Linked DNA regions of Macaca fascicularis. The protein of the gene in region 3 purifies or fractionates together with the protein of the main gene of each other region. This does not show direct contact. Links are inferred from orthologs where the notes say so. Each region holds a gene or a part of one and is shown on either strand. Other genes may lie near its edges.

What was found.
Region 1: the proteins of VPS50 (region 3) and VPS52 purify together in Homo sapiens (affinity purification with mass spectrometry; 4 studies listed by BioGRID and IntAct, counting the BioPlex papers as one, with this or other methods). This does not show direct contact. The link is inferred for Macaca fascicularis from reciprocal best matches to the Homo sapiens genes VPS50 and VPS52.
Region 2: the proteins of VPS50 (region 3) and EIPR1 purify together in Homo sapiens (affinity purification with mass spectrometry; 4 studies listed by BioGRID and IntAct, counting the BioPlex papers as one, with this or other methods). This does not show direct contact. The link is inferred for Macaca fascicularis from reciprocal best matches to the Homo sapiens genes VPS50 and EIPR1.

The regions. Positions count from the first base shown.
Region 1 is NC_088378.1:138,435,929-138,446,179, reverse strand, and holds part of VPS52 (vacuolar protein sorting-associated protein 52 homolog), read right to left. Parts: coding exon 10,218-10,251; intron 10,093-10,217; coding exon 10,035-10,092; intron 9,679-10,034; coding exon 9,545-9,678; intron 9,432-9,544; exon of another isoform or gene 9,278-9,431; intron 9,071-9,277; coding exon 8,915-9,070; intron 7,229-8,914; coding exon 7,110-7,228; intron 6,828-7,109; coding exon 6,704-6,827; intron 6,434-6,703; coding exon 6,338-6,433; intron 6,213-6,337; coding exon 6,105-6,212; intron 5,881-6,104; coding exon 5,815-5,880; intron 1-5,814. UniProt on the Homo sapiens protein: Acts as a component of the GARP complex that is involved in retrograde transport from early and late endosomes to the trans-Golgi network (TGN).
Region 2 is NC_088387.1:118,873,962-118,884,212, reverse strand, and holds part of EIPR1 (EARP and GARP complex-interacting protein 1), read right to left. Parts: 5' UTR 5,852-10,251; coding exon 5,476-5,851; intron 1-5,475. UniProt on the Homo sapiens protein: Acts as a component of endosomal retrieval machinery that is involved in protein transport from early endosomes to either recycling endosomes or the trans-Golgi network.
Region 3 is NC_088377.1:128,009,521-128,019,771, forward strand, and holds part of VPS50 (syndetin), read right to left. Parts: intron 9,431-10,251; coding exon 9,254-9,430; intron 6,393-9,253; coding exon 6,274-6,392; intron 4,069-6,273; coding exon 3,962-4,068; intron 1-3,961.

The DNA.
Region 1 (10,251 bases), on a different chromosome or scaffold from region 3:
CTTGGGTGACAGAGCAAGACTGTTACTAAAAACAAAGACATAAAAATGAAAGACAGATAAATTCAATCACATTAAAATTCTAAATTTATTTCATCAAAAAGCAACATTAAAAAAACAAAGGTTGGACGCGGTGGCTCATGCCTGTAATCCCAGCACTTTGGGAGGCTGAAGTGGATGGATCACCTGAGGTCGGGAATTCAAGACCGGCCTGGCCAACATGGCAAAACCCCATCTCTACTAAATATACAAAAATTAGCCAGGCATGGTAGCACACACCTGTAATCCCAGCTACTCAGGAGGCTGAGACAGGATAATTGCTTGAAGCTGGGAGGCGGAGGTTGCAGTGAGCTGAGATCATGCCATTGCACTCCAGCCTGGGCAACAAGAGTGAAACTCCGTCTAAACAAACAAAAAAAAAAAAAAAAAAAAAAAAGAGGTGCAAGGATCTCTTGAGCCCAGGTGCCTGGGCAACATAGAAAGACCCTCATCTCACCAAAAAAAAAAAAAAAAAAAGGTAAAAAGATACATACTAAAAGATAATCTGTAACCTATATATAATCAACAAGATTAGTATGTAGATGATACAAAGAACTCTTATAAATCAAAAAATACCAGCAGACTTATTTTTTTCTTTATTTTTTGAGAGAGTCATGCTCTGTAACTGAGGCTGGAGTACAGTGGCATAATCTTGACTCACTGCAACCTTCACCTCCCAGGTTCAGCGCCCTTGAGGAGCTGGGACTACAGGCATGTGCCACCATGCCTGGTTAATTTTTGTACTTCTAGTAGAGACAGGGTTCTGCCATGTTGGCCAGGCTGGTCTTGAATTACTGGCCTCAACTGATCCATCCGCCTCAGCCTCCCAAAGTGCTGGGATTACAGGTGTGAGCCACCATGCCCAGCCACAACCCGATTTTTAAAAGGTCAAATGCTATGACAGCCATTCTACAGAAAAAAAAAAAAAATGGTATAGTTGTGGTGATGCTGACACAGAGCACCAGCTGCGGGGAGTCTGTCCCTTGCAGACCCCTGACCCGGCGAAGGATGAATGAAGTACACTGACACAGATACTCTGCTTTGCCAGTCCAGCTGAGTGTGTCCAGGCTGCTTACAAACTCCCTGTAGAGTACTGTAAACAGTTGCGATGGCGGCCCTGACCAGCTAGTGAGACTCTCATTTATTCAGTAAAGATTAATTGACAAAGACTTGAGTCAACACCACTACAGGGTAACTGACACTGTGGACTTCCTGAGTAGAAAGCAGTTAGGCACCTGCGGTACATGAAAGGTTAGTCTTAAGACCACATGAGTAAACAAGCTAGCTAGCTAACTTCCCCACATTCCTTTGTTATTACTCTAATTTATTTAACTAAAGGTAAAGATCAGGTCGCCTTCAACCATATCTATTACTGAAGTTATGCAAACTCTCAGGCCTTCGAAGAGGGTTTGTGGCTATCATAACTAGTATTTTTCCCACCAGCCTGACTGAACCCCTACATATAGTTACTAAACATTTGAAATGATACTCAATGTTATTAGTAATCAGGAAATTACAAATAAAGACCCACTGAAATACAGGTTGAGTATCCCTAATCCAATAATCTAAAATCCAAAATGCTCTAAAATTTGAAAGTTTTTGAGTATCAACATGACGCTCAAAGGTAATGCTCTTTGGAGCATCTCAGATTTCAGATTTTCAGACTACAGATGCTAACCAGTAAAAATAATAAAAGTAATCCAAAATCCAAAAAAACTCAAAATCTGAAACATTTCTGATCCCAAGCATCTTTAGCAGCATCTCTGGTCTCTTAAAAAAAAAAAAAGAAAAAGATGGCAAAGATCTGATAATACCACATGTTGGAGAAAATGTGGCTCAGAAGGAATTCTTACATATTGCTGGTAAGAAGGAACTACTTAGGAAAACAATTTATCATTGTCTTATAAAGACTAATACTGCCTATCTTATAAACAGCAAAAATACTGTCCTAGGTTTATACCCAAGAGAAACTTCTGATGAAGATAATCAGTATCTATGTGTGCTAAAAGACATGATTATTCATAAAACAATGCTCACAGAAGCAAGAAACTGGAAACAATCCATTTATAGAATATGTTTAATCACACAAGTCATATATGGCAGTGAAAAAGAATGAGCTATAGCCATATGCAATAACATGACAATATTAGAAAAATTATGCATGAAAAAAATCCTGTGATTCTGGGGATTTTTGTTTTGCTGTTTGAGACAGGGTCTTGCTCTGTTGCCAAGGGTAGACTACAATGGCATGATCACAGCTTGCTGTAACCTCGAACTCCTGGATTTCAGGTGGTCCTCTCGCCTTTGTCTCCTATATAGCTAGAATTACAGGTGCACACCACCATGCCTGTTTTTTTTTGTTTTTTTTTGTTTTTTTTGCCTTGCTGTTTTCTTGCCTTGTCTCATCAGTGTTTATATCATTAAAAAATAAAACAACCCAGTGCAGTGGCTGTTTTGTTTTTTAATGATATAAACACCCACAAACACACCACACAATCCAAGAAGTAGCAGCTTGGCAAAAGCCACCATCAAACTATGAAATCCTCCTGAAACTATCCCTGTGCCTCTCATGCACAGGTACTCGTTGATCTAAACGTTGCATTTATTGTACTCCTGCTTTTTTCCCCCTTTTGTGTGTGTGTTCTTGCTTTTAAAAGTAGAGCTATATATATGCCAAAACAAAAATTCATTCTGTTTTTCAGTGTCATTAAAAACAGAATCCGGGCCGGGTGCAGGGGCTCACGCCTGTAATCCCAGCACTTTGGGAGGCTAAGGCGGGTGAATCACCTGAGGTGAGGAGTTCACGACCAGCCTGGCCAACATGGTGAAACCCCATCTCTACTAAAAATACAAAAATTAGCTGGGCATGGTGGCACGCACCTGTAGTCCCAGCTACTAAGAGGCTGAGGCAGGAGAATCACTTAACCTGGGAGGCAGAGGTTGCAGTGAGCCGAGATCGTATCGCTGCACTCCAGTGTGGGAGACAGAGTGAGACTCCGTCTCTAAACAAACAAACAAACAAAAAAACCAAAAGAATCATTAGATTTTTCACTTGAGGGCAGTAATTCAAGAACAGTCCAGGCAACATGGCAAGACACTGTCTTTACAAAATTAAAAAATTAGCCCGCACACACCTACAGTGAATTCATTTTTGATAAAAGTGCCAAGAACATACACTGGGGAAAAGATAGTCTCTTGGTCAGGCACGGTGGCTCATGCCTGTAATCTCAGCACTTGGGAGGCCGAGGCGGGAGGATCACTTGAAGTCAGGAGTTCAAGACAAGCCTGGCCAACATGGTGAAACCCCACCTCTACTAAAAATACAAAAACTAGCCCGGCGTGGTGGCAGGCACCTGTAATCCCAACTATTCAGGAGGCTGAGGCAGGAGAATCACTTGAACCAAGGAGGCGGAGGTTGCAGTAAGCCAATACTGCACCACTGCACTCCAGCCTAGGTGACAGAGCAAGACTCCGTCTGAGGAAAAAAAAAGAAAGAGATAGTCTCTTCAATAAATGGTGCTGGGAAAACTGGCTATCCATTACACAGAAGAATGAAACTATACCCCTATCTCTCGCCACATATGAAAACCAATTCAAATGGATTAAAAACTTAAATCTAAGACCAAACTATGAAACTACTACAAGAAAACACTGGGGAAAATCTCCAAGACATTGGTCTGGGCAAAAATTTCTTGAGCCATACCCCACAAGCACAGGCAACCAAAGCAAAAATGGCCAAATGGGATCACATCAAATTAAAAAGCTTCTGCACAGCTGGGCACGGTGGCTCACACTGTAATCCCAGCACTTCGGGAGATGGAGGTGGGCGGATCACCTGAGGTCAGGAGTTTGAGACCAGCCTGACCAACATGGTGAAACCCCATCCCTACTAAAAATACAAAATTAGCCAGGCATGGTGGCACATACCTGTAATCCCAGCTACTTGGGACGCTGAGGCAGGAAAATTGCTTGAACCTAGGAGGCGGAGGTTGCGGTGAGCCAAGATCGCACCATCGCACTCCAGCCTGGGCAACAAGAGCTAAACTCCGTGTCAAAAAAAAAAAAAAAAGCTTCTGCACACACAGCGAAAGAAATAACAAAGTGAAGAGACAACGAATATTTGCAAACTACCCATCTGCCAAGGGATTCATAACCAGCATATATAAGGGGCTCAAACAACACTACATGACAAAGTCTAATAATCCTATTAAAAAATGGGCAAAAGATTTGAATAGACATTTTTCAAAAGAATACAAATGGCAAACAGGCATATATGAAAAGGGGCTCACCATCACTATCATCAAAGAAATGCAAATTAAAACTACAGTGAGATCTCATCTCACTCTACTCAGAATGGCTTTTATCCGAAAGACAGGCAATAACAATGCTGGCAAGGATGTGGAGAAAAGGGAACCCTTATACACTGTTGGTGGGAATGTAAATTAGTACAAACACTTTGGAGAACAGTTTGAAGGTTGCTCAGAAAACTAAAAGTAGAGCTACCATAGGATCCAGCAATCCCACTGCTGGATATATACCCAAAAGAAAGGACATCAATACATTGAAGAGGTATCTGCACTCCCATGTTTGTTGCAGTATTGTTCACAATAGCTAAGATTTGGAAGCAACCTAAGTGTCCATCAGCAGATGAATGGGTAAAGAAAACGTGGGACATGTACACAATGGAGCACTATTCAGCCATAAAAAATAATGAGACTCAGTCATTTGCAACAACATGCATAGAATTGGAGATCATTATATTAAGTGAAGTAAGCCAGGCACAGAAAGACAAATGTCATGTGTTCTCACTTATTTGTGGGATCTAAAAATCAAAACAATTGAACTCATGTACTCATGTACGAAGAGAGTAGGATGGCTACCAGAGGCTGGGAAGGCTAGTGGAAGGCTGGGGATGATTAATGGGTACAAACAAAAATAGGAAGAATTAATAAGACCTACTATTTGACAGCACAACAGGGTGACTATAGTCAATTATAACTTAATTGTACATTTTAAAATAACTTAGAGTGTAACTGGATTGTTTATAACACAAAGGATAAGTGCTTGAGGGGATGGATAAAGAAAAAAATAAAATTCATTCTAAAAATAGAAAATGGCCGGGCGCGGTGGCTCACGCCTGTAATCCCAGCACTTTGGGAGGCCGAGGCGGGCGGATCACAAGGTCAGGAGATCGAGACCACGGTGAAACCCCGTCTCTACTAAAAATACAAAAAATTAGCCGGGCGCGGTGGCGGGCGCCTGTAGTCCCAGCTACTCAGGAGGCTGAGGCAGGAGAATGGCGTGAACCCAGGAGGCGGAGCTTGCAGTGAGCCGAGATTGCGCCACTGCACTCCAGCCTGGGCGACAGAGCGAGACTCCGTCTCAAAAAAAAAACAAAAAAAAAAAAAAAATTGAAAATTAGCTAGGCGTGGTGGCTCATGCCTGTGGTCCCAGCTACCCAGGGGCTAAGGTGGGAGGATCGCTTAAGCCCAGGCTGTCGAGGCTGCAGTAAGCCATGTTCATGCCACTGCACTGCAGCCTGGGTGACACAGCGAGACTCTGCCTCAAAAAAGGAAAAAAAAAAAAAAAAGCAAAACCAAAGACAAAATAAAATAAAGTAGACCAATAATGACAGTATGTTGTGGATCAAGAGTTACAGTAATTCCATGTACCTGAGGTCCATTATGCCACTCCCTACACACACACACACACACACAAACACACAGGAGCTGAAAACAGCACACAAAGCTGTCCCTTCCCTTTTCCCCACACCCCTACCTGTGTCCGAGCATTGAGCAGCTGCTGGAAGCTCTCAACCTCTTTGCTGTCATCTGCAGCCCGCTCCTAAGGGAAGACAAAGGGAAATGTCAAGTTTGGGGAAAGCAGTCCTTCACTTCAGGATGTCCCCTTCATTCCACACTTATTGTACTAAGCTGGACACTGTGCCAGACTCCAAGAGTAAAACGCTGAACAAGACAGGCATCGTCTCTGCCCTCACAGAGCTAACAAAGCAGTGGGGGAAACCCAATTTTCTGGGTAGGAAGACAAGGAGAAGGAGCACCTATTACCATCAGCACACCCAGCATCATGTCATAGTTGTTGATCAGAAACACAAGCTGCTCCTTCCTTGAGGAGAACTCGGCTGCCACTCGAAGGACAAAATTCTCCACCTCCACCTGAAAAGGCAGAGAAGAGGTGACACCAGAAAGCAAGGCCATCAGGCCCCCCTCTGGCTCCTCCTCAGCCTCCACCCACTGGCAGCAGCCCTGCTGCTGGTAAGTCTCTCCTGTCTGACCCTTACCTGCAGCTGTCCCAGCAACTGCATGGTCCGTTCATTGGGAATTGTCTGGTTGATGCTGACAAGAGCGGAGGAGAACTCTGCGTAGCGGCGTGTGATCTAGGACAGAGTGGGAAGGAAAATCACACCCACCTCCTGGCCCAACCACCACCACCTCCCAACTCCCTTGGTCAACCCGCCACCATGTGATGTGACTCTACCTCCAGTCCCTCCTACCCACAGTGCACCACTCACCATGAGTTTTATCACCCTCCCAGAATGCCTGCTCAGAGCGTGGCCCATGACACAACTGTGACCGTGGCCAACCCCCACAATGATGCTTAGAGCCCTGCCTTTCAAGAACCCTTTGTTACCCTTGCCCTCCCTCACATAGTGGGGCCGAGTATCCAACCCCCCTAGGCGCTGGGGGTCAGTGCTTCGGACGCTCTGGACATTCATCTCCAGGATCAGCTCAAACCGTGGCCATAGCAAGGCAAGCACCTGTTCCCAGTACCTGTGGGCTTAATCAGAATCTGAGGTCAGCCGGCAAGGAATGTTGGAGAGGGATGGGGGGGAGTGGGGCACCATTCAGTTTAATGGTCAACAGTTAGTTGTGGGGATGGGGGGGCAGTGGTTGGAGAAAGGTGAGTCAAAAAGCAGCAGTACTGCCTCTGGAGCAAATCAATGGGAATAAAGGTTAATGATACCAGGTCAGTAGAAGTCTAAGGTCAGGGCAGAGTCATGCAAGACCAAGAGTTTGTGGCCTGTTGGGCATCAAGGACCAGAATTCAGTGACCTGTCCAGAGCAGGAACATCCCTCTTTGCTGCAATGTTACGGAACCGGAGAACAATGTGGATACAAAGAAAAACAGCAATGGCATCGTAGCAGTCAGCGAGATAGGACTCCAGGTGTTTCTATGTGATTGGGGAACAAGCAGAGGATTAAAAGAGAATGTCAGTTTGTTTTCCTCAGTGACTATGAACAAACGCATGTGTTTCTTTGGGGATGATGCACTGGATAGGACAGAAGGGAGAGATGTAAAATGCAACTGCCCCCTGCTTTCCTGTCCACTGCCACCCGGGTGGTCCTACTGCCTTACCCACCAGGATCTATGTTTTTGGCTTTTTTTGTTGTTGTTTTTTTGAGATGGAGTTTCGCTCTTGTCGCCCTTGTCGCCTAAGCTGGAATGCAGTGGCGCAATCGCAGCTCACTGCAACCTCCGCCTGCCTCCCAGGTTCAAGCGATTCTCCTGCCTTAGACTCCTGAGTAGCTGGAATTACAGGCGCCTGCCACCACGCCTGACTAATTTTTGTATTTTTAGTAAAGATGGGGTTTCACCATGTTGGCCAAGCTGGTCTCGAACTCCTGACCTCAGGTGATCCGCCCACCTCAGCCTCCTAAAGTGCTGGGATTACAGGTGTGAGCCACTGCGCCCGGCGTTTTTGACTTTAGAGACAGGTTCTTGCTTTGTCACCTAGGCTAGATTGCAATGGTACAATCACAGTTCACTGCAGCCTCAAACATCTGGGCTCAAGTGATGTTCCCACCTCAGCCTGCCAAGTAGCTGGGACCATGGGTGTGTACCACCATGCCTGGCTTATTTTTAAATTTTTTGTCAAGACAAGGTCTTGCCATGTTGCCCAGGCTGGTCTTGAACTCCTGGCCTCAAGCAATCTTCCTGCCTTGGTCTCCCAAAGTACCGGGATTACAGGTGTAAACCACTGCACCTGGCTGCAGCAGGATCTACGATCACAAGCCTATCACAGCAGAGTTCCAGGCTGAGCTTGGGTCAGGGGTTTGGAGGACCCTCAGTTTTCACGTGCTATTGCCTGATTCTGATTGTGGGGCAGCAGCAGGGGGAGTCTCAGGGACCCTACACTCTGAGGATTTCATGGGAAGTAACACTGTGACAAGTCTAAGTAACAAGGCTTAGACTTTTTTTTTTTTGAGATGGAGTCTTGCTCTGTCACCCAGGCTGGAGTGCAGTGGCACAGTCTTGGCTCACTGCAACCTCCTCCTCCTAGGTTCAAGCAATTCTCCTGCCTCGGCCTCCTGATTAGCTAGGATTACAGGCTGCGCACGCCCGACTAATTTTGTATTTTTAGTGGAGATGGGGTTTCACCATGTTGGTCAGGCTGGTCTCGAACTCACAGATCCTCCCGCCTCAGCCTCCCAAAATGCTGGGATTACAGGTGTGAGCCACTGTGCCCAGCTTTTCTTTTTTTTGTTTTAAGAGATAGGTCTCACTCTGGAGTGCATGGCTCACTGCAGCCTTGACCTCCTGGGCTCAAGCAATCCTTCCACCTCAGCATCTCAAGTAGCTACGACCACAGGCATACATCAACACACAGCTGGCTAATTTTTTATTTTTCATAGACAGGCCAGGCTGGTCTCAAACTCCTGAGCTCAGGCAATCCTACTGCCTCAGACTCCCAAAATGCTGGGATTATGGGCGTGCGCTACCATGCCCAGCCAAGGCTTAGACATTTTAGAATGAGGATCCTGATTGATTTCAGTTCTACCAGAGTCATGACCCCACTATGCTGCTGATGAAGACTGGGGACAAAGGTGTTGAATAGTACAGGAAATAGGAATCTTACCAGGGTCATGCTGAGTGTACGGCCCATGACAGCATGGAACAGGTCATGTGCAGCCGGGCCAGACACAACAAAAAATTCACAGATGAAAAGGTATTCGCGGCAGGAATTGTCTAGGAGGGCGTAGTGCTGGCTGCGGAAGAGGGCCTCAAATGGATACTGGGAGAGGAGAAGTAAAGAAGAAACACAGAAGGGATGGACCCCAACACTGACTTCCCATGGATATGGCTGCAAAATCAGTAAACCTGGGTAATAAGAGCTGGGCAGACCCTTGGCATCCATCTAGGTCCAGGCTGTCAAAGAGCAAGCTGAATGGGCACTGAAAAGGTGGGGGAACATAGGGGTACAAAAAGGGCCTACACCCACCTGCTGTTGCTACTCCTGCATCCACCTCAACACCTGCCTCTGACCGTCATTCCCCTCATCCAGTCTCTCCCCTCTGCATGCCCTTAAGTCAATGGTTCCCAGCTCTTTTCACATCACAGCAGGCTGGAGTGATTGGAGAAGGCCACTCCCAAGTCTAAGGGGATCGAGACAGGGCCTGCAGGTTGGGAAGCTCTGCCCTGAGGTCTGGCCTTCCCTCCCTCCATGCTCAGAGTCTCTTTCATGACTGAAGCTTGTTCCTCCTCATACCCTCTGCTCTCCACGCTGGGCTGTGTGAGGCACCAGGATGGGGGCCTCAAGTTCAGTGGGGGAGATGACAGAGCCACGGGTTCCTAGGGTGAAAATGGTGTTCCTGCTGCGGAGTGATGGCTTTGAGAAGAATCGTAAGATGGGTCAGAGTCAGGGAAAACAATGAGACCATAACTGGGCCCAAAGACTCACTATCTGCAGGGACCCCAGACAGCGAGACATGGCCTAGTCAGCCCTCTTTCCCAGTACTAGGGCCCCACGTGATGACATCTGTGAACGGACTTCAGGGTGTCTCCCCACCTCCTGCAATCATATGCAAAACTATGTGTCAAAATGACGCATCTTTCTTAGGAGGGAGGCTATAGCTTTCATCACATTCTAAAAGGTTTCAGTCCCATAGGAAAAGGTAAGGAACAGTGCCTTGGTGGCTGCAGCCGAAAGTCCTCCCACTCTCAAGACCTGGCATGAGGGTTCCCCAGGACTAGGATATCTTTCTTCGCTGTATCTTCCACGCCCATTAGATCATCTTTCTCAGCAACTTCCTCATACTAAGAAAACAGAAAAGAGAACTGATAACCGTCTCTTCCGACAACACAATAAAATATTCCTTGCCCAGGGATGTCCCCTCCTCCCAGTCCACGTGCCCAGGAATGCCTCTCCCTCCTGACCTTACCTGCACCTTCATGAGCCGCCCCAGGTAAGAGCGG
Region 2 (10,251 bases), on a different chromosome or scaffold from region 3:
ATTCCACTCTTAGAAGAAGCTGTCACAAAGCTTGGCTTGTTAATAATAAGCCTTGTGGCCGCTTTCTGACTTGGGCGGTGAAACCCAGCCCCAAGTAATTGTGGTCGGGTGACGGGATGTAACTGCCAGAAGTCAGGGGGTAGCGATTATCATAATGACCAACGAGACCAGAGTGCCGGCCAAGGAAGCTCAACTGGCAGAAGGCTGTGGAGACAGTTAATGGAGATGGTATTCCAAGCGGCGAAACAGACAGGCATGCAAGGAGAGTACTGCCTGCCTGACACATGCACACAGGCATGCAAACATACATAGCACACATACATATTAAAAAGAAAACAAGAATGAATGAGCGGAAGGCTGAGGGAAGTCACCCCACTCACAGTCATGATCCCTTACCCAGCTCCAGATTGGAGCCAGCTTCAGAGCTGGAACTCACTGACTATAAAGATGGTCTGATTCCCCACGAGTTAGGAACCTGCAACCCTAGGGCAGGTGTACACTGCAACAATTACCCCAGTCTGTACCAAAGGGACCCACTGCCATTTCCTGAATGCCATTCCCTGGGCAAAGGGTAATTCCCACACATTTCCAGGTCTGCTGAACACAAAGACACACACAGAGGCCCAGCAACCCAAAGTGTCCCAGTGTCCTCTGGCCCGAGTGGGGCATGGGGACACCAGATAATAAGTAAAGTCCTAGGCAAAGCCTGGCTTACCGCAGATCCGTTGGGTCTATGGATGCACCCAGTGGGCAATTCCAGGGTCTGTTAAGGTCAAATAGGATTGACATACTGGGCAGTTTATGACAAGTCCATATTGGGTCTGTGGCCCGTGGAGTTAATGGGAAGGTCACATAGAAGCCTCTGAAACTGCGCTCCCCATCCCATCAAAGAGTGGTAGAGATCTGTGCTTACTGTAAGGATCAAGGATATGAAGTGGGTGTGGCTTTGCTGAATTCACCACTGGCTTCTGCAGAAAGCCAATGGGCCCTGGAGAATGACTGTGGACGACTCTCAGCTCAGCAAAGCAGGAGCCTGCTCAGATCCACAGTGCCAGCCATGGAGTCTTGTTTGTTAGAGCAGATTCCCAGGCCCTTAGGCACATGATGTGTGCACACGGACCACCAAATGCATCCTGTCCTATCCCAATGAAGAAAGAAGATGAGAAAACCATCCGCATTCACGAGCAAAGGAAAACAGTATACACTCTTGCCACAGAGCTGTGCTGGTCTCCCATTTTCTACCATAATATAGTTCAAAGAGGTCTGGGCAGCCCAGAGAACATCACACGGACCCACTGCATTCATGACATCACAGTGACGAGGTAGGAGGAGCATGCAGAAGACCTTGGCAAGATGGCAGGAGACACAGGCTATGGTGATTCCAGGACCTGTTACTTCTGCTGAGGACACCAGGACCTACCCTCCAGAGCAAAAGCAGAAATGACGCTGCAATGCCTGGCAGGCCTCTTCATTCTAGAGGTGGCACGTTACACACCTAGGAAGGCTGGGCCAGCCCAGATGCTGGGGTAGCACGTAAAGCTGCCAGCTTAGGCCAAGAGGGCACTGCAGCAAGATCAGGCTGGGGAGAGGCAGCCCCGCCTCTGGGGACGCCTAGTAGACCTGCTGGTGTGGAAGCTGTCGGTGGTAGAAAGCATGTTGTCGGTGGTAGAAAGCATGTTGTCGGTGGTAGAAAGCATGTTGTCGGTGGTAGAAAGCATGTTGTCAGTGGTAGAAAGCATGTTGTCAGTGGTAGAAAGCATGCAGTGTGGACTTTGTGGAGAGCCTGGGTGGAGTCACCATGTGGTCCTGGGGCTCTGGAGCAAGCCATGCCATCTGCAGCACAGAACCACATCTTTGATAAACAGCTGTGACCATGCTTCCAGGTCCTGATAACGGAGCTCCTGACCATGGGGCACCAAGTGCCAGGTGTCACTCATGAGAAGAGCTCAGTCATAGCCACCAGGTCACAGGGTTGGGCAGGGCCAGCAGTGATTTACTACAAAGTAGAGACGGCGCACACAGGACAGAGTCAGGCAGGACCAGAGGGCACCAGAAAGCTGCATGGTGGGTGCCCAAACCATACATGACCTCCCCGCCCCGGACCCTCCCTGCACTCATGCCTGTGGCCATGTGGGAGTCCTGTACTTTTAGCTGAAGAAGGAGAAGAGACCTGAGCTGCTTTATAGATCAATGAGTTCAGGAGAGGGCATAAGCCAGACATGGGCAGGCGCTGTCAGATGGCTACACTCAGGAGAGGGCTGGAAGAGCATGGAGGGGAAGGTGATTGTGAAGAAAGGCAGGGCTCCCAGCACTGCTCTGGCCATCCCCACAGCGGGCAAAAAGTGGCCCATGCTCAAGGGCATGACCAACTGCCTGGTGACTGGTTAGAAGCCTGGAAGGAAAAAGACTGAGAACCTGGAGACTCATGGTGTTGCATGCGGCAAGGTGATGCCTAGGGCCCCTTCCATCCTGAGAACGGGAAGGGGTTCACCCGATACTTATTCTAAGTATGACTTTGCCTTTCTTGGCTGCAAAAACAAAGCCAGCAACCTGATGCCCTGACCAGAGACCACCCCGCAATGGCCCCACCACCACAAACACACATAATCAGAGAAGCCTCAGAACCGCACTATGCAACAAGCAGGAGTGGACCCAGGATCTCCTATCCACATCACACCACACCACCCGGGTGTGCCGGGTTCATGCAGCAAGAGCATGCAGCACAGTGCGGCCAGCACCTCCCCCAGGAAGCAGCATGGCGCGGCCAGCACCTTCCCCAGGAAGCAGCACCGTGCGGCCAGCACCTTCCCCAGGAAGCAGCACAGTGCTGGACCCAGCTCCTCTGTCAGTTTCCTTGCCCCGATAATAGCACACAGAGGCATGGAACCCAGTATTTCCAGACGGCTCTGTGTCCCAACAAATGATGCTGCAGCAACATGAACTTTCTTATTATTTGACAAATTTAAAAATGCATATATTTATAGTATACAACATAATATTCTGATATGTGTATACATTGTGGAATGGCTAAGTTAAGCCAATTCATATTTGCATACTTATTTTTTGTTGTGAAGACACTTGAAATCTACTCTCTTAACAATTTTCAAGTATATGATACAATGCTAATAACTTCAGTTACCATGATACATTGCTACTAACTGTAGTCACCAAGACATCCAATAGATCTCTAGAACTCATTTCTCCACCTAACTGAAACTTTGTATCCTTTCACCAACATCTCCCTTTTCCCCATCTGCCCTCCGGCCAGCCTCTGGTCTCACCTTCTACTCTGCTTCTGTGACTTCAGTATTTTTAGATTCTGCATATCAGTGAGATTGCGTGGTGTCTGACTGTGCTGGGCTTATTTCACTGAAGACCTCTAGGTTCATCCATGTTGCTGCAAATGGCAGGATTTCCTTCCTTCTTAGGGCTGAGCAGTGCTCTATTTGTATCATGTTTCTTTATCCGTTCATCCGGCTCATTAGCCTTGATGCATACCCAAGCTGCTTCCATATTGTAATGAATGTCCTAATCATCTTCAGCTTGCCATGCCCCAGAAGAACTGGATAAATAAAGGCTTTCCTGTGTCTGGCAAATAAGGAAGCTCCCAGCACTGCTAGGGAAGTGTCAAAAGCAGGGGCCACAGGAGGCTTCCTTGGGGCAGGACAGATCAAAAAAGGGAATTGCAGTGGGTGGAAGCATCAACGGTGTTAGCCACGTGCAAGGTCATGTGACACACGAAGACAACCTCACCCCGTTCCTTTGCAAAACACTACGGAACCAACGCACTTTTCTTCCCTTTTTTTTTTTTTTTGAGATGGAGTCTCACTCTGTCGCCCAGGCTGGAGCGCAGTGCCGCCATCTCGGCTCACTGCAACCTCCGCCTCCTGGGTTCAAGCGACTCTCCTGCCTCAGCCTCCTGAGTAGCTGGGACTACAGGCGCCGCCACCTCGCCCAGCTAATTTTTGTATTTTTAGTAGAGACGGGGTTTCTCCATGTTGGTCAGGATGGTCTCGAACTCCCGACCTCGTGATCCACCCACCTCGGCCTCCCAAAGTGCTGGGATTACAGGCTTGAGCCACCGTACCTGGCCTCAATGCATTTTTCTAAAAATTGGTAAATAAAAGGAAAATAAAATTAATGAAATTTCTAGTGTATGAAAAATGTACTTAGATTTTCCAAAAGATTATAAAATTGCCCTTCTAGAATTTAGTCTGAAAATCTGGTGGGTACAAGATGAGTTCAAAATGCCTTAGTAAAGAATGTGAACACCAGAAATCACCCTGAGGAAGATCAGAGAACATTAGAGGTGTGTGCAGACAGGAGGTGTCTCTGGCATTGCCACCCAAAGAAATGAACAGAGCTGCGCACGTTGCTGAATAAGGAGTGTGCTTGGGGTTCAGGAAATACGGTAGGCATTCGTACCTCCAGAAACTCTCCATATCCTCAGAGGCAGATGAAATGGAAGGTAAACAGCACTAAGGAAGAAGCACCCATGGAGACACACTCATCGGCTCTGAAACTCTGAGGATTTCTGTAGCTGTTGGATCCCAAAAGAGTGTTCAACACACATCCAGCAGCCATCACAGAAACGAAGGAGCTTTTAAGAAGCAAAACCTGATCTTTAGAAGGAAAACGCTGTAATAAGCAGGGAGGCATTTCATCTTTTATCTATGTTTTTCACACACTCCTGAACTGGGGTCCTGAAAACGTAACTTCCTGTGCCGAATTAACATCACAATGACTAGGAGCCAGCAGAGGGCAGGGCTTAAGGCTGCCACATAAAACCAGGCCTATGGCACAAACCACAGCAGCACTGCCCACAGACACCACGTCTGTGCCGACAGAAGTCAGAGAACCACAGGATACCTGGGCTGGAAGGGAACTCCGATATCATGCTGAATGAACACAGCCCCCTCATTTCACAAATGAGGAAACTGAGGCCCAGTGAAGCCACTGATTTTCCAAGTTCAAACGGCTCATTAGCACTGATGTCCAGAATGAATGGAGCCTCCTGACTCCCATAACAGCCCCCTGCTTTGAAAGAGAAAATTCCAAGTTGTGTCTTTAAAGCCAATTTGATGCCACTACCTACTTTTTACATGTTAACACAAAAGCTAAAGACCCTTAAAGAGATAAAGAGATAATCAGGGCAAAATGAAGGGATGGAGGCATATTCGTGACCGCCTGTGCTGCCTGCTGGAAGGGATTACCAGGCAAAAGGCTTACAGGAATTCAAAGGAGATTAGAGCCTTTGTGAGCATGAATAGTAGCTCCAGTCAGGCCGGCTAAAGGGTGAACAATGCCCTGCCTGGGGGACTTAATCTGATCCCCAGCTGGAGGAGGAGGAGGCTTCCAGGCTGCACAAGCAGTACATTAAGATGGGGCTATTTTTAGAGCCTGCAGCCATCTCTGAGTCTGGTAGGAGCTGAGCAGGAGGGATGAGGACAAACGACAGCCTCACTGGGCGCTCACCTGATGCAGGTATGCCTCGGGGTGCACGACAGGATGCCTGAAAATCTGGGCCTAAAAATACCTTCCTCGATGGCCTTTTAAACGCCTTAGGGATGGCACCATGTACAGATTGCAGCTCCTGAGCGTGCAGGGGCAGAGACTGACTGCAGAAGGCGGCAAGGCTGATGAGCAAGATAAGGATGACATCAGGTCTCTTATCCTCCAGGCATTCGTGAGGGGCACCCGCGCCTCTGACAAGCTCTGCTGGCCAGGAGGCAGCAGGAGGTGGTGCCAGCATCACAACAGGCTGCTGCCCCAACAGGAAGAGGGTGTTGAGAAGTGGGGGTGTCAGGGGCTCGCCGGCCGTGAGCTCCAGAGATACAGTGGGCGCAGGCATGAGATGCCAATCAGAGCAGTCTAGACCAGATGGAGCTGCGGCAGAGGCCAAGGGAGAAAAAGACAGGCAGGCTGCTCAGCCCCAACTCCACATGCCAGAAAGGCTCAGGGCAGAGACAGAAAGCTGGCCTGATGACCACAGTGCAGAGGCGCGGCCTCTCTCAGCTCTTCACCTAAGCCAGCTCACAGGCCTATGGCCCCTCGGTTTAGGGGAACCCAGGTCCCCTTGGGGAAGGACCCATGGCTATTTTATAGGAGAGCTGACCATGGGGAGAGGGAACTACCCCAGACCCTGAATCAATGCCAGTCCTGCTGGACCCAACACATCACAGGGTCTACGGCCCCAGGCAGAGACCTGGAGGTTGTGGCCCAAGTCCACCTCAGAGAACCCAGTGGGGTCAGTGTATCCAACCTGCGGTTATTTCTCCAATCCCTGCATGTGCGTTGGAATAGACGGACCTGGCATTGGCAGGACGACCACACAGCACCCACTCCATGGCTACAGAGCCAGTGATGACAGGAAGGACCAGAGGGACGCCCCAGGACATTCCCTCACCCATGAAATTAGTCCACCGAAAGCAGCACTGCAGTGTTGGTGGGATGGAGAGTTAGGACCACCATGGAGGTTGGGAAAGATGCCGGGTGCTGCCGTTGACCACACCCCACCAAACCCAGCTGTTTGGCCTGCGTAGCGGCAGAGGGTTCTCGGAGAATGACAGTGCATGATCATAAACTTAATCAGGTGGGCAACCCCAACACGGCCATTTCAGATACGCTGCTGTCACAGAGCACGTCTACACAAGAATGCAGGCCCTGGCTTCTGATGCAAAGATTGATCTAGCAATTTGGTCTACACCACCAATTTGAAGGGCCACCAGAAGCCATTCGCTGTCACCTGGCAAGGCCAGCAGTACCTGTTCACGTCCTGCTGCAGACCTACATCAAGACTCAGGCCTGGGGCCAACATGCTGTACCCATCAGGCACATCTGGCCTGCACCCCGTGAGCTAAGAGTGGTTCTGCATTTTTAAAGACATCAAAGGACACAGAGGAGAATATAAGACAGAGACCGAATGGCCTACAAAGCCTAAAATATTTACTCTCTGGCCCTTTAAGGAAGAAATTGGCTGGCTCCATCCACCTGTGCCAGTGACCCACTTGCCGCCTCAGGTGCTGTAGGCGCCCTGCAGACCATGCCTTGTGTAGCACAGACTGTTCGGCTGCTCTCCTTGGAGATGCGCCCTGTTCTCAGCCAAAGGCCCTGGAGGGAGACTGCAGGAGGCAGGGCCTTCCACGCCACAGTCCTGGAGTGGTTGTGAGTGTGTGCAGGGAAGCGTGGCCCCAACACTGGGCCCTTGGTCCTTCTGTGACCCCGTCACCTCAGTCCAGTGATAGCCTTTCCATGAGCCTCTCAATCCAGAGACTGGACCCCCAAGACTTCCTGCCCACACCAGCTCCGGGAGGCCTGGAGCCCATGCCAGTGTCCTGGTTCCCTCTGAAGGCACCCGTGGGGCCTATCTGTACCCTGCCTACAGCCCAGAGGGTTCCCACACCCTCGGCACAGCATGCTGTCAGCTGTGACCACCTACTCCCCACCTGCAATCCAGAGGACAGCCTCCTGCCAATCCAGCGACTGTGGACCAGCTCCAGCCTGGCCAGAGCAGCCACCTCTGCTGCACGGTGGGCTGAGGTTTGCGCCCCGCCAAGATCTTCCTTCCTGAGTTGCTCTTGCTCCGTCCGGGGTGACCTGAGGGAGTTTCTTAATACCTGACGCCTGTGACTCTTCTACCACACTTAGCGCTTCTTTATACTAAACTTCCCTGTTTAACCTGCTGTTTCCACTTCCTGCCCAGACCAATACAGCCTGACCTCATCCACAAAGACCTCAATCACAGGACAGAAAGCACAGTGAGGACAGCATGCGCTTGGGGTCTGTTGACCAGGAAGCATCGGGCACCTCAGATGCCTGAACAACACAGGTGCACACAGGTGGGAAGTAAGCCGGCTCCCCTTGGCTTAGGGAGGTCTCAAGGTCTGGTGATGTGGAGCAGATGGGGGCATCTTCACCACCACGAGGCCGACTTTGGTGGGGCTTTTTGAATCTGGGAGGTAACATATGACATAAAGCCTACCTCTGTCATATGGCGGGCTGTGAAGACCTGCATGGCCACTGGCACCCCGTGTCGGGGTGAACAAGCATGCTGTGTGGGGCCTCTGGGGGGCCCGTGGGAGAATCACAGGCCAGCCAGTGAGGCGTGGGAGGCAAGCAGTGTCCCTTCTGCATGTAACTTCTCTCCTGTCCGGACACAGCTCCTGGCTTCCCTACCCACTCCATCATGTGGGCATGCTGTACACTGAGCACTGCACACCACAAAACGCGTGTGGTCTGACATCAAGCCCTAAGCGCAGGCAGAAGCAGCAGTCACACTCAATCATCACACTCAGTCATCGACTCAGTCATCACACTCAATCATCGCACTCAGTCATCACACTCAGTCATCGCACTCAGTCATCGCACTCAGTCATCGCACTCAATCATCACACTCAATCATCGCACTCAATCATCGCACTCAGTCATCGCACTCAGTCATCGCACTCAGTCATCACACTCAATCATCGCACTCAATCATCACACTCAATCATCGCACTCAATCATCGCACTCAATCATCGCACTCAATCATCGCACTCAATCATCGCACTCAATCATCACACTCAATCATCGCACTCAATCATCGCACTCAATCATCACACTCAATCATCGCACTCAATCATCGCACTCAATCATCACACTCAGTCATCGCACTCAATCATCACACTCAGTCATCGCACTCAGTCATCACACTCAATCATCACACTCAATCATCACACTCAGTCATCGCACTCAGTCACTGCGTGGAAATCTCACTTCGTCCAAACAAAATTGTGTTCAAGCAGGTCCTGAGGCACAGGCAGGTGGCATAACTACGGGTAGCAGCTCCCTCTGCCTTGGCACCACTGCATTGCCTCTGTTCTCCTGGGAAGCTCCCCAGCACCGCGAATGAAGAGGAGCACCAGCCCTCAGCTCGGGAGCACCGACCCTTGGCTTGCACACAGCGCAGCCTCATGAGCTGCAGCAATGGGAAGTGCTCCCTGAAGAAGTGTCTCTGACGACAACTGGTAAAGAGAAATCATACCAGGAGGCAAAATTCTGAGCAGGACACTTGGCTGTCCACATTGTCCAGATGGGCAGAGATATGAGTCTGTATTGATTTAGAGGCTGTAGCCTCCATTTTGCCCTTATAACAAGGACTTGGAAAGCACAGAGCGGGGACGAAACAAGAGGGGATGTCGGGGCTCAGGCTGAGCAGGGTGCAAGCCCATCTGTGCCCACATGGATGCTCGCCGCAGGGTCTCAGCTCCAAAGAGGCTCTCAGAAGACCTGCTCTGCGGATGCCAATGCTCCTGCAGAGGGCCTGGTGTGTGTCGGCGTGTGCCAGTGTGTGCTCTGCGGGGCACCTCCTCTAAGCTCCAGGTTTATTACCTTTTCCTTTTGCGTCTCCATGCGGGGGTGGCAGCTGCTTCCCATGGTAACTAAGATCTGTGTTTCCTCCCTGGATGAAATCCCCGCTTTCTGGAACACAGGCACACTTATTACAGGTTTGGTTCTAGACCACCACGATAACATTAATACGGCAAAAAGAGAGTCACATGAATTTTTTGGTTTCCCAGTGCATGTAAAAGTTACACTGACACTATAATGCAGTCGAGTAAGTGTCCAAAAACATTATGGTCTAAAAAGCTATTGGGAATACCTTGATTTTAAAATACTTTATTACTAGAGAACACTAACAATCACCTGACCCTTCAGGGAATTGTCATCTTTTTGCTGGTGGAGGGTTTTGCCTCAGTGTTGATGGCAGCTGACTGATCAGGTGGCAGCTACTGAAGGATGGAGTGGCAATGGCAGTTTCTCAGACCAAAATGAAGTTTTCTGCATCTATTGACTCTTCCTTTCATGAAAGATTTCTCCAGCACGTGATGCTATTGGACAGCACTTTATGCACAGTAGAACTTCTTTCAAAATTGGAGTCAGTCCTTTCAAACCCTAACACTGCTTTATCAACCTGGCTTACGTAATATTCTAAATCCTATGTTATCATTTCAACAGTGTTCACGGCGTCTCCACCAGGAGTAGATTCCATCTCAAGAAACCACTTGCTTTGCTCATCCTTGAGAAGCACCTCCTCATTCATTCGAGTTTGACGGTGAGATTGTAGCAATTCAGTCCCAACTTCAGGCTCCACTTCTAATTCTAGTTCTCTTGCTATTTCTACCACAACTGCCGTGACTTTCTCCATGGAAGTCTTGAACCCCTCAAAGTCGTCCACAAGAGCCAGAGTCAACTTCCCCCATTAACTTCCT
Region 3 (10,251 bases):
GAAATGACGTAACCTATATGTTGAAAAGTAGAAGATGTATAAATTGTGGCACTTATAATATTACATCTATACAATAGGAAAAAAGAATGAAATCCACACATACTAAGATAAGTAATACATTAAGTTATTTTAAGTGTAACCTTAAGATATTTTAAGTAAAAAAGCCAGATAAAAACAGTATAGTGTAATTCAATTTTCGAAACAAACAAAACAACAACAAAAAAATAGGAGAGAGGAGATACACATATTAAATATATTTGTACTAACACTAATATTTCCAGAAGAAAACAGGAGAAACTCAGTCGTTTTGTCTGGGGAAGGAGATTTGCAGCTCAGGGGCTCTGCTTATACCTTGCGGTATTTTAATTTTTAACCACTTTCATGCATTACCTTTCAATTTAAAATGCTCAATGATAAAGAGTATGCCAGCAAACTAAAGTGCTGGGAAACTTCAACAGTCTGTCATCTAGTATTTTACCTTCCCCCAAGGAAAAGAATGTATATTATACCTAAAAGAATATATATTACACCTAAATATCCCTTAGATGCACATATCCTATTTTCATTTTAAATACTGATGCACGTGCTAGGGTATATTTTTTTCTAGCTACTAAAGTGGTAATTTTGTTGTTGTCGGCAGTTGTTATAAGCATGGACTTCGGTAATCTAGCTCCTGCTCCTCAGACCTATCATACCTGCTCAAGTGAGAGCTGTCTCCAGGAGAGAGAACCATGAATACCAAGGCTATTTCACTGATGAGACACATTTCCTAAAATTTCTCTTTCTCTGTCTGCAAGAAACCATCAGGCTGACAGAATTTTCTCTTTATATAATACAAGCAAGTCTTCTGATCAGTTCTCTCCACTAGTGCAAAGCCTCCCTGAGCCTTTCTAATAAATTTAGTTACCACCTGGGGTAAGGGAGCCCCATTAACACTCTTTTGTTTACTCTCTGCTAATTATCTGCCAAGTAAATACTACTTGAAAGGGACATTTTAAATATGCCTTTAATGTTCTAATATGTGTTTCCGAAATACTCAATAATTAGCTCCTTCATCTTCTCAAGTACCAAAAATTAATCTGTCTTATTTATATAACCATACTTCTCCCTTTGTAGGAAGAGGCATGACTTTTGCCAGTTTATAATCTTCAGGCACTTCTATGCAATAACAACAGTGGATGGAATAGTGCATTTACTAGTCAGAGACCTCTGAGACAGTGGCTTCCTTAAAGTTCTGTTTTGTATATATCTAAAAACTGAAGACAAAAACATCCCAGGGAGAGAGAAAATGATAAGAATAAAAGTCTACTGGGGATCCCAACTGAGGTGATAATGGCAGCACCTAATCCCAGTCCTAAATGAAAAGATATAAAAGTTAAATTGTCATACTTGGCATTGTTTCCTAATTGCAAGTCCAGTAAAAGATATGGTAGTGTAGAAAGCTGAAATTGCAATAGTCAAATTCTCTTCACAGAGTAAGGTTTTATTCAGGACTGTGCCATACTTTAAAGGCTCTTGAATGTGGCTTTTCTCAGTTCCTATAAACCCACTGTTCAAAAGCAAGGCCCACTATGTTGGTCAGCAATCTTCATGTAAGAATTTGTTGTTACTATCGTCTGAATTCAGCACCAGGAGCATATTTCTACCATTATTATAAAGGCCTGTATCTTTTTCACAGATAATAAGGATAGTGGAATACATTGTTTTGTGAATTCCCTTATGCCTACCAAGAAGTTAAGCACTGTATTTGATGTCTGCATTAAATATGATATGATAAAGCATGATGTGCCCATTCCTCAACTTTGCCTTAGCCTTGTATTTTATTTTATTTGATTATTATGAAAATATGCCTTCAGAGTAAACAGCAACATGACTACCTCCAGCCCCTTTTGAACTAGGTAAGGTAAAAAATATAAACAGATATGTTTAATTATATTATTTTTCCCAATTTCCCATAAGAGCATGATACAGTCCTGCCCACTTTCCTTGACTTGCAGTGCTTCCTGTGGCAGAAGCATACTTCTCCCTCCCTTTGCCAAGCCTGACTTGCTTTGGCCATGACATGTCAGAGGAAGTCAAGGTTGACACATGGAAGCAGAATCTTCAGGAGTCATAACAGAGTTTGCTCTTGCTCTTCTTCCCATGTTCCAGATTGGTTGGTACTATTCTTTCAACCTACATCTTAGAATGAAGAGACACACGGAGCAGAGCTACATATAATCAGGAGACAATGCGTATCACGAGTGAAAAATAAAACTTTGTGGTTGAAAGTCATTAATGCACCAAGAGCTGCTTGTTACTTCAACATAATCTAGCAAAAGCTGACTACATCTCAAGTGATGTGTTCAGACACTGAAAAGTGCTGAGTCTAGAAGGCTAAGGAGGATGACGATTATTCTGAAATGTCTGAATTTCTATCAGTGAGGACAAGATAAAGGAACTGAGCCCATGAAGCCTGAAAAATGGATTGTGGGGTGGTTGGTATGAGAAAAGGAAGGACAGGACAACTACCACCACATATCTGAAAAGTGATCACATGGAAGAATAGAAGAAATAGAAGATAAAAGAAATAGAACAGAATAAATAGAAACAGAAAAAAAATTTTTTTAAAGCATGAACTTATTCTTCTTGCTTCTAAGGGCAGAACTCTTAGACCAAAAGGACAGATCAAAAGCTAGAAACATAGAGACAGGTTTTGGTTTATCTTGGGGAAGAGACTTCTACTAATGAGATCAGTCTAATGATAGAATGAGTAGTCTTGCAAACCACTAAGTTTCCAATGACTGGGAATCACGAAACAGAAGCTAGACAGCCACCACATATTAGAGACATTACAGAAAGACAACCGACTTCATGGGAACTTACACCAATGACCTCTCAGCACTCTTCCAATTCTGATTCTACAAATTCTAGAGAGTTATTTCTGACACTATGTTCAGTCAGTTCTCTTGGAAGAAGAAAAGCTTAGTTCCCTGGCAATAACTAGTCACAGAATAGCTTTTTAGAATCTATTCTTTTTTCTGAGCATCATGAAAATGTATACCTTTCTTTTCTTCTCAGTTCAGTAACATTTTTTGCTCTTTCTAGAGAAACCGTGACTCCTAAAAAGCATTCTATACATTTTATCCTATTCATTAACTACATTTAATAATTATCTTAAAGAACACGGACTATTTCAACAGAGCTAAGATTAATCAAACTAGGCAATAGGTAAATACCATCTCCATAGATAGAGATTTTTATAGAAAACCACTAAAATTCCTGATTGGAATAATGAAGGTTAATATGAGAAGACATCTCTATAACTTATTTGTCAAATAGATAGACTTATTAGTGAGATAGAAAGGCTAAAAACATACAAGATGTTGAAATACTGACATTAAAAAAAAATCCACATCATCCTCAAACCCGAATATTTAAAATGTCATTTCTTCATATTGTTTCCCTTCTACAAAATCATCAATAAATGTCTTACCTGTAATAAGAACAACATTTCCTATAATCTGAACATTTAGCTTGTAAATCCCTTAAGTCTGAAAATGTCAGAAAGTCACTATTCACTCTGCCTGACAGAATACTGTAAAGATCTATGAAACAACAAAGTAGAAAAATATTGTATAAATGTGAAACTGGTACTATCTTATCTTACATGTACCTCTAACCTACCTAGAGAATTTTTCATCACATTTCAATTAACTGAAATATTTTAGAAAAATTGGAAGATACAAAGACTTAATAAACAGGTAACTTAAAAAGAGAAACTGGCATTACTATTAGTATTATAGTATTTGGAACATTTAAAATGAGAAGCATAGACATATGATAACCTTAAATCCCTTATTGCAGAGAGCACTGCAGTATACCAGACAACGAAAACCACAAGTAAAAGTCATTCAGTACCAAACTAATTTAACTGTTATAATGTTTCTTTTTCTTTGTTTTTAAATGTGTAGCTACTTACCAACAAGTCTTATTACATTCAACGTTGTATTTGTTAAGATAGGGGCATTCACTTTATTTAGACTGTAATCTGATTTCTTCCTGCTTTTTAGAGTTTCCCGAGAAACACTTTATATGAAAAAACAAAACAGAGTTGCTAGAGTTGTCAAGTAATAAACCAATAAGTTACTCAGATTAGTCCATAGCCTTTATTAACTAATTATTTAATGAAAAGCGTACTATGCATTAGGTAAAGATATAGAGATTAACTTCTTATCCTTATAAAATTTACAATCCATAAGTAAGGGAAATAAGTAAGCAAAAAAATAAAGTACCATAATGCATTTCTTCGATTATAAAACATTATCAACCACTAAAAAAACTAATCACTTTAAAAAACAAATTTTCCAAGATAATTACATATCTAGGTGCAGATGTACTATGTTTCTTGATTTCAGAAACTTATAAACATGAAAAAATACCCTCCTAAGAATCTGAATTAAGTAGAGAATATTGGTGACAGTATTTGGGGTTAAGGGGCAGCATTAGGTTAGGTTCAAAAGAAAAGTAAAAGTTATATGGTCAGCACAGAAAAAAGGGCCAGCATAAAACAGGGTTAGAGATAAGAGAGAACAGAGTGTGCTCAGAAAAGTACAAGGAGTTCACCACATTTGCAAGTAGAAGAAATAAACAGAGGGGAAAGTAATAAGAAAGGAGGCAAGTAAAGGCCGGATATCCCTGAAAGCAATCAAACCTGAGGGATATGAACCTTATCTTGAATACAGTGGTGAGTCACTAAAAGCTAACCAGAAAAACAGCAAGATTAAATTTGTAACTATGAAAAAAAAAAAACCCTAAATTTAAATCTAAGAGTTGTTTGGAATGGGGCAAGCCTAGAGACAAGAATCCAAGGTAAAGGAGTTGATTTAATAATCTGGCACAGAGATAATTTTAGGATAAACTAGAATGGTAGTGGTGAAATGCCAGAAAAAGTGGTCAACTCAAGAGACACAAGTTAGAATTGATAATAACTCAATGTATTGGCTTCAGGCACTAATTCGTTCAATTCAAACTTCTTAGGGGTAAGTTTAGGGGGCTGCAGTAACCCTACCAAAAATGGAGGTATATACACATGGCAGACACTATCTTACTTGTATATTTCAATTCAAATAGACCTTTCCTTTTGGCCAAAATATGCCCAAAACATCTAATAAAGAATTCCAACAAAATAGTTCTATTTAGTTCACAGTAGATCATACTGACACTTAATATCATACATATGCAAAAACCAATAGAACAAATTTTTTCAATTAAAATAGCTACAATTTCGTGAATTGCTCACTTTTGAAAACAGTATTATTTCAGTCGGGATTTCAAGTTAAACAGTATTAAATAGGTAGCTTGGCGTTAAACGGTAAGAGTATACTTATCGTTACTACCATTAAGAAAAAAAAGTACATTTATAGTCACTAAACGTATGATAGTCATGAAATCAAGTCATTTCAACATTCCAGAATCAGGCCCATTTAACTGGCAAAAGGTAAGAAAAAATTCTGTTATAATTATCATAGTTTTGAAGAGGTCAGTTTATCATAAAACAAAACTCAATCACTAATAGGACACCTTGGTAGAAAGTTCAAATAGTGAACAAAAATGACACAGGGGAAATAAGTGGTGATTTTCTGTGTTTACAAGATTGAAGTAAGAACTCCACATACAAAACAAATGATCATTTTCTCCTTGAGGTTTTTTATTTATCTATGTAAATCGCATAAATGGCCACCAAAGGCAGGATTGATTTTATAAATCTAAAGGCTTTTTCCTCTGCAAAAACTAATCTCTTTGATTATGCCCAATATTTTCAACAATAATTTTAACAGATTTTAAAAAATGACTAACTTCGTGATGCCATAAAAAAGGAATTAGAATCTTGCTACAAAAAGCAATGTCAAACACACTACATAACTCAAAGGAAAGCTACATTAAAACTAGCCATTTAAGAACTTTTAAATGGCTAAATCAATTTCTTTTTTGACACATTAACAATCCAGTTCATAGTTAAATGAACTGATTTGTGAGATGCTGGCAAAGGTTTTGCTAGGCAGAACTTTTCATATAACTATTTTATTTTTCATGAAATCCAGTTATGAAATGTTAGGAGGAAAAACACATTTTTAGCCTTCCAGGAATCATTTAAAACATACTAACTTCTGTCAGGTGACATAATAAGTACCAAAAAACATAATTTTTATTTCTTCTTAACCTTAAAGGAAATCCTATATGTTAAGAGCACAAGATAAAATGCTAAATACCACACAATTTAAGAACAATCACCTTTTCACAGGAACATCTCCTGTCTGCTCATCCACATAGTCTCGTTTGAGTTCCTCAGGAACATCACTGTCACTGTCATACTCTTGATAGGCACTCTTTTCTTGTTCATCAGATTCATACTGAAGAAAACACAGGATATTAAAAAATGAGTATAAAGGGCCTCGTTTCGTGGGGTGTCTCAACACAGCGAAAGTACTCAATTTTACAAGAAACCACTAAATACAAGAAAATCCGTAGTTTAGTTTTAATGTTGTCACCAAGAATCTGATTATTCTTCCATTGTCTTCATCATTCTACCTTAATCAGCACAAAAGAAAAATATTACACCTATAAAAGCTTGAAATGTGCAACAAAATAAAATCACCATAAACGAAAACCTAACAAACATTCCACTAGGCCTAAAAAGAGAAGAAGAGTACACATAAGCACGTGTTTTTTTTTTTTTTTTTTTTAACTTAAAGTCTCTCAGAAGTTTCACCATACATATTTCCAATTTGCTAATAAAATTCATTAAAAAGAGGTTCAATATCCAATTCTGGCACTCTGCAAGTATTACTTCAGCTTAATAAACATGCACAACACACATGCTGATGTTTTAATTCACTATAAGACTTAATTTCAAGGGCAGCTTAGAAAATTAAGCTTAGAACACAGTGACCTGCTGAGAATGAGGACAAAAATGGTGGATTTACTCCTGAGAGGAAGGATGTCTTCCTAACATTTTCATCATCTTTATGGCACTATGGCCCAATGCCAGCACGGGAAAGGACAGTGGAATTCATGCACAGTAAAGGAAGCAGTGACAGCACTTTCATCATCATCATCTATTAATGTTATAGATTAGTATGATTAAATAATGGCTAATATTAGTATGATTAAATAATAGCTAACATTGAGTTTTTAACCAAGTATTATGCTAAATTCTTTCATGAATTATCTCATTTAATTGTACAGACACTTCTCTGAGGAAGTTTTATCTCCACATGACAGTTGAGAAAACCAGTATGATAACAACATGGAAATAATTTAGTCCCCTAATTCAACAACTATTTTTTGAGAGTCTGTTAATAAAAAGGTCGTATTTAGACGTGGACCCTGATTCTCAAGGACATAAGTTGCACCTGGGAAGATGAGATCACACATTAATAACTGCAAACAAGCCTTACAGGTACTCCTTTATACTTATACACAATGTGATCCTGATGCTATGCAGAAAGGTATTCTACACAAACTAGGATGTCCTGATTACAACAACAGAGTTTTGTGACCACATCGTATCACAGATACCCATTATTTGAGGATTCAATGTTTGCAAATTTGCCTGCTCACTGAAATTTATTTGTAACCCTAAAGTCAACACTTATGATATTTCTGGAGTCATTCATAAATGTGCAGAACAGTGAAAAGTTTGAGTCATCCAACATGCATGTTCCCAGCTGAATACAAAGCATGCTCTGTCTTCTTGCTTAGGCTCTCATACTATAAACAAGTTTCCTTTTCATGACCTATTTAGTGCCAAGTTCTTTGTATTTTTGTGCTTTTTGTTGGTGATTTAACTGTTTAGAATGCCACCACAAGTGTAGCCCTGAAGTGCTGTGTAGTGTTTCTAAGCACAAGAAGGCTGTGATGTGCCTTAGAAATAAAATATGTGTGTCTGATAAGCTTCATTTAGGCAAGAGTTATGGTGTTGTTGACTATGAATTCAGATTATGTACTGATGGGCTGATAAATATGTTGTAACCAGAGGCTTATAGGAACCTAATCCTATATTTGCTCTGGGAGTAATGGTTGAGTATTTGTTAAATCAATATTCACAGCAACTTTATAGAACACACTGCTGCAAATAATGGGAATCAAAGGTTATGTAAGTTTTAGTTAGTGAATCACTTTTATAGAGAGATATGTTATTCCAAAATAATTGGAATGACTTTAAATTCCTCTCAGTTTAGTCAATTTCACAGAGGCAAAATGTCACAAAGAATCACTGAATCATAATTTTAAATATGGCTTACTATGAAACAATTTAAACTTCATGAATTTCATCTTCACCAAATGAAAAATAAATTCTAAAACTAACATAAAATATAAAGACAAATCCTTCAACATATTTTTGTCACATCTGAATGGTTTTCACTTTAGCTTCATCAATCAAAAATAAAAATTATATTGAGTCATTATGGAAATTATGAAGATCAGAAGAAACCATCAAACAACTTATTAAGTCAAGTAAAATACTGTGAAAATACCATGCAAGTAGCTGTGAAGCATTCCTCTCACTGTAAATATGGAGAAACTGAGGGTCACAAAGTTAAAATAATTTGCCAAGGGCTACACAGCTGATAAATAATAAAGATGATATTCATTATCTGCCTTCAAATCCTTTACATTAATTCACACTACATCTAGTTAATATTGTTTTTGAGGTCCTAAAAAGTGTTGTTAAAACATTGTACTTCTAAATCTCAAAAAAATATCCCTGCCAAGCAATTAAGCAAGACATTACCACTTTCTCTTAGACAAAGGGACATGGAACAAAAGCAATCTGTGACCCATAAAGGGTGTCGAGAAAAAGGGTAGATGATATCCATTCCCTCACTCATCTCACAATATATCACATCATATTCACATAATATATCACATAAATATTCAGTGAAGAAATTATACTACTATTTGATTAGCAACCTGATAAGAACATCATGTAATAAGAACATAAAGCAAACATAAAGGGAAAATTTACTATTCAAGAGGACAAGGTCAACAAAGCATATTGTAAAGTCATTATCTATAAATGTAATATCATAGATACATTAAGTATATAGGTGGGCGGGCAGGGTGGTAGTAAATGGATACATAAATGGGTAGTAAATGGATATCTTTTTTAATAATAATTTATAACCAATGTAGTAAATTGCCTTGCTCATTGAGTAGAACAGTTTTAAACTAAAAAAAATCTCACTTATGTTTCACATACACCACATACCCCATTAGAAGCTAAGACATCTTCTGTTTCTTCATCTTTGTGGTTGGCCTGAATTTCAAATGGATTCCCACCACTACAGTACTGCTCAAACAAGGTCACTGTTTTTGAAGAAGTTGAGACTGGCTGCTTACTAGGTGAAACTGATGGGGAGCGAGACTGTTCCATGAATTTAAATTCCTAGATGTTAAAAAAGGAGCCAGATACCTTTTAGCAACAATAAAATTCTAACACATAAACTGAATCCCTCAATATAAATGTAGACTTAGCAGAAAAACAACATCTTGATCTTCAAGTTATTGACTTTTAAATCTTTCAAGTTATCTAAAAGTACACACTTAGAAATACATGTCTAAAGGCTTTCCTAAAGACAACTCAGCGAATGATATCACTTAAAACAGTATCATCTGCATCAAACTACTTTTGGCTTCCTTTAAGAAACTGTGGAGATCATTTTTTAAAATAGCTTAAGAAATCTGAATGATGTCTTCTAAAAATTTTAACAGAACAGCAAAAATCCTAATCAATAAAGTCATTTACGAAAACTAATTGTTAAAGTAAAACACTATGCTTTTTCATATGTTGGCACCACTTAAGATATTCTATACAAATACATCAGAAACAAAGTATGAAGTGTATATGTGTTACACTGATGCCTACAAACTTTCATTTACTTTTCTCTATATACCAAGAAACAGACAACACGAATATATATGCCAAAGTCATATGATGTGTCCTCTACTCCTAGCAAAGCTAAAGAGTTGTAAGACCTAGTCTAAATTATGCATTAATCACATGAGGAAACTGAGGCAGTTTGAAGGGATTCAGTGCAAAGTTCAACCTCACACAGCTAATTAGAGGAAAAGCGGGAATAATCTCTAAAGTTCCTTTGAATTACCAAAATCTTGATTTAATGATTTATCACAAAATTTAACAAACATTTTTCTTTTCACTAAATGGAATAATCCCAATATTTAAATCCCAAATATAAATTTCAATGA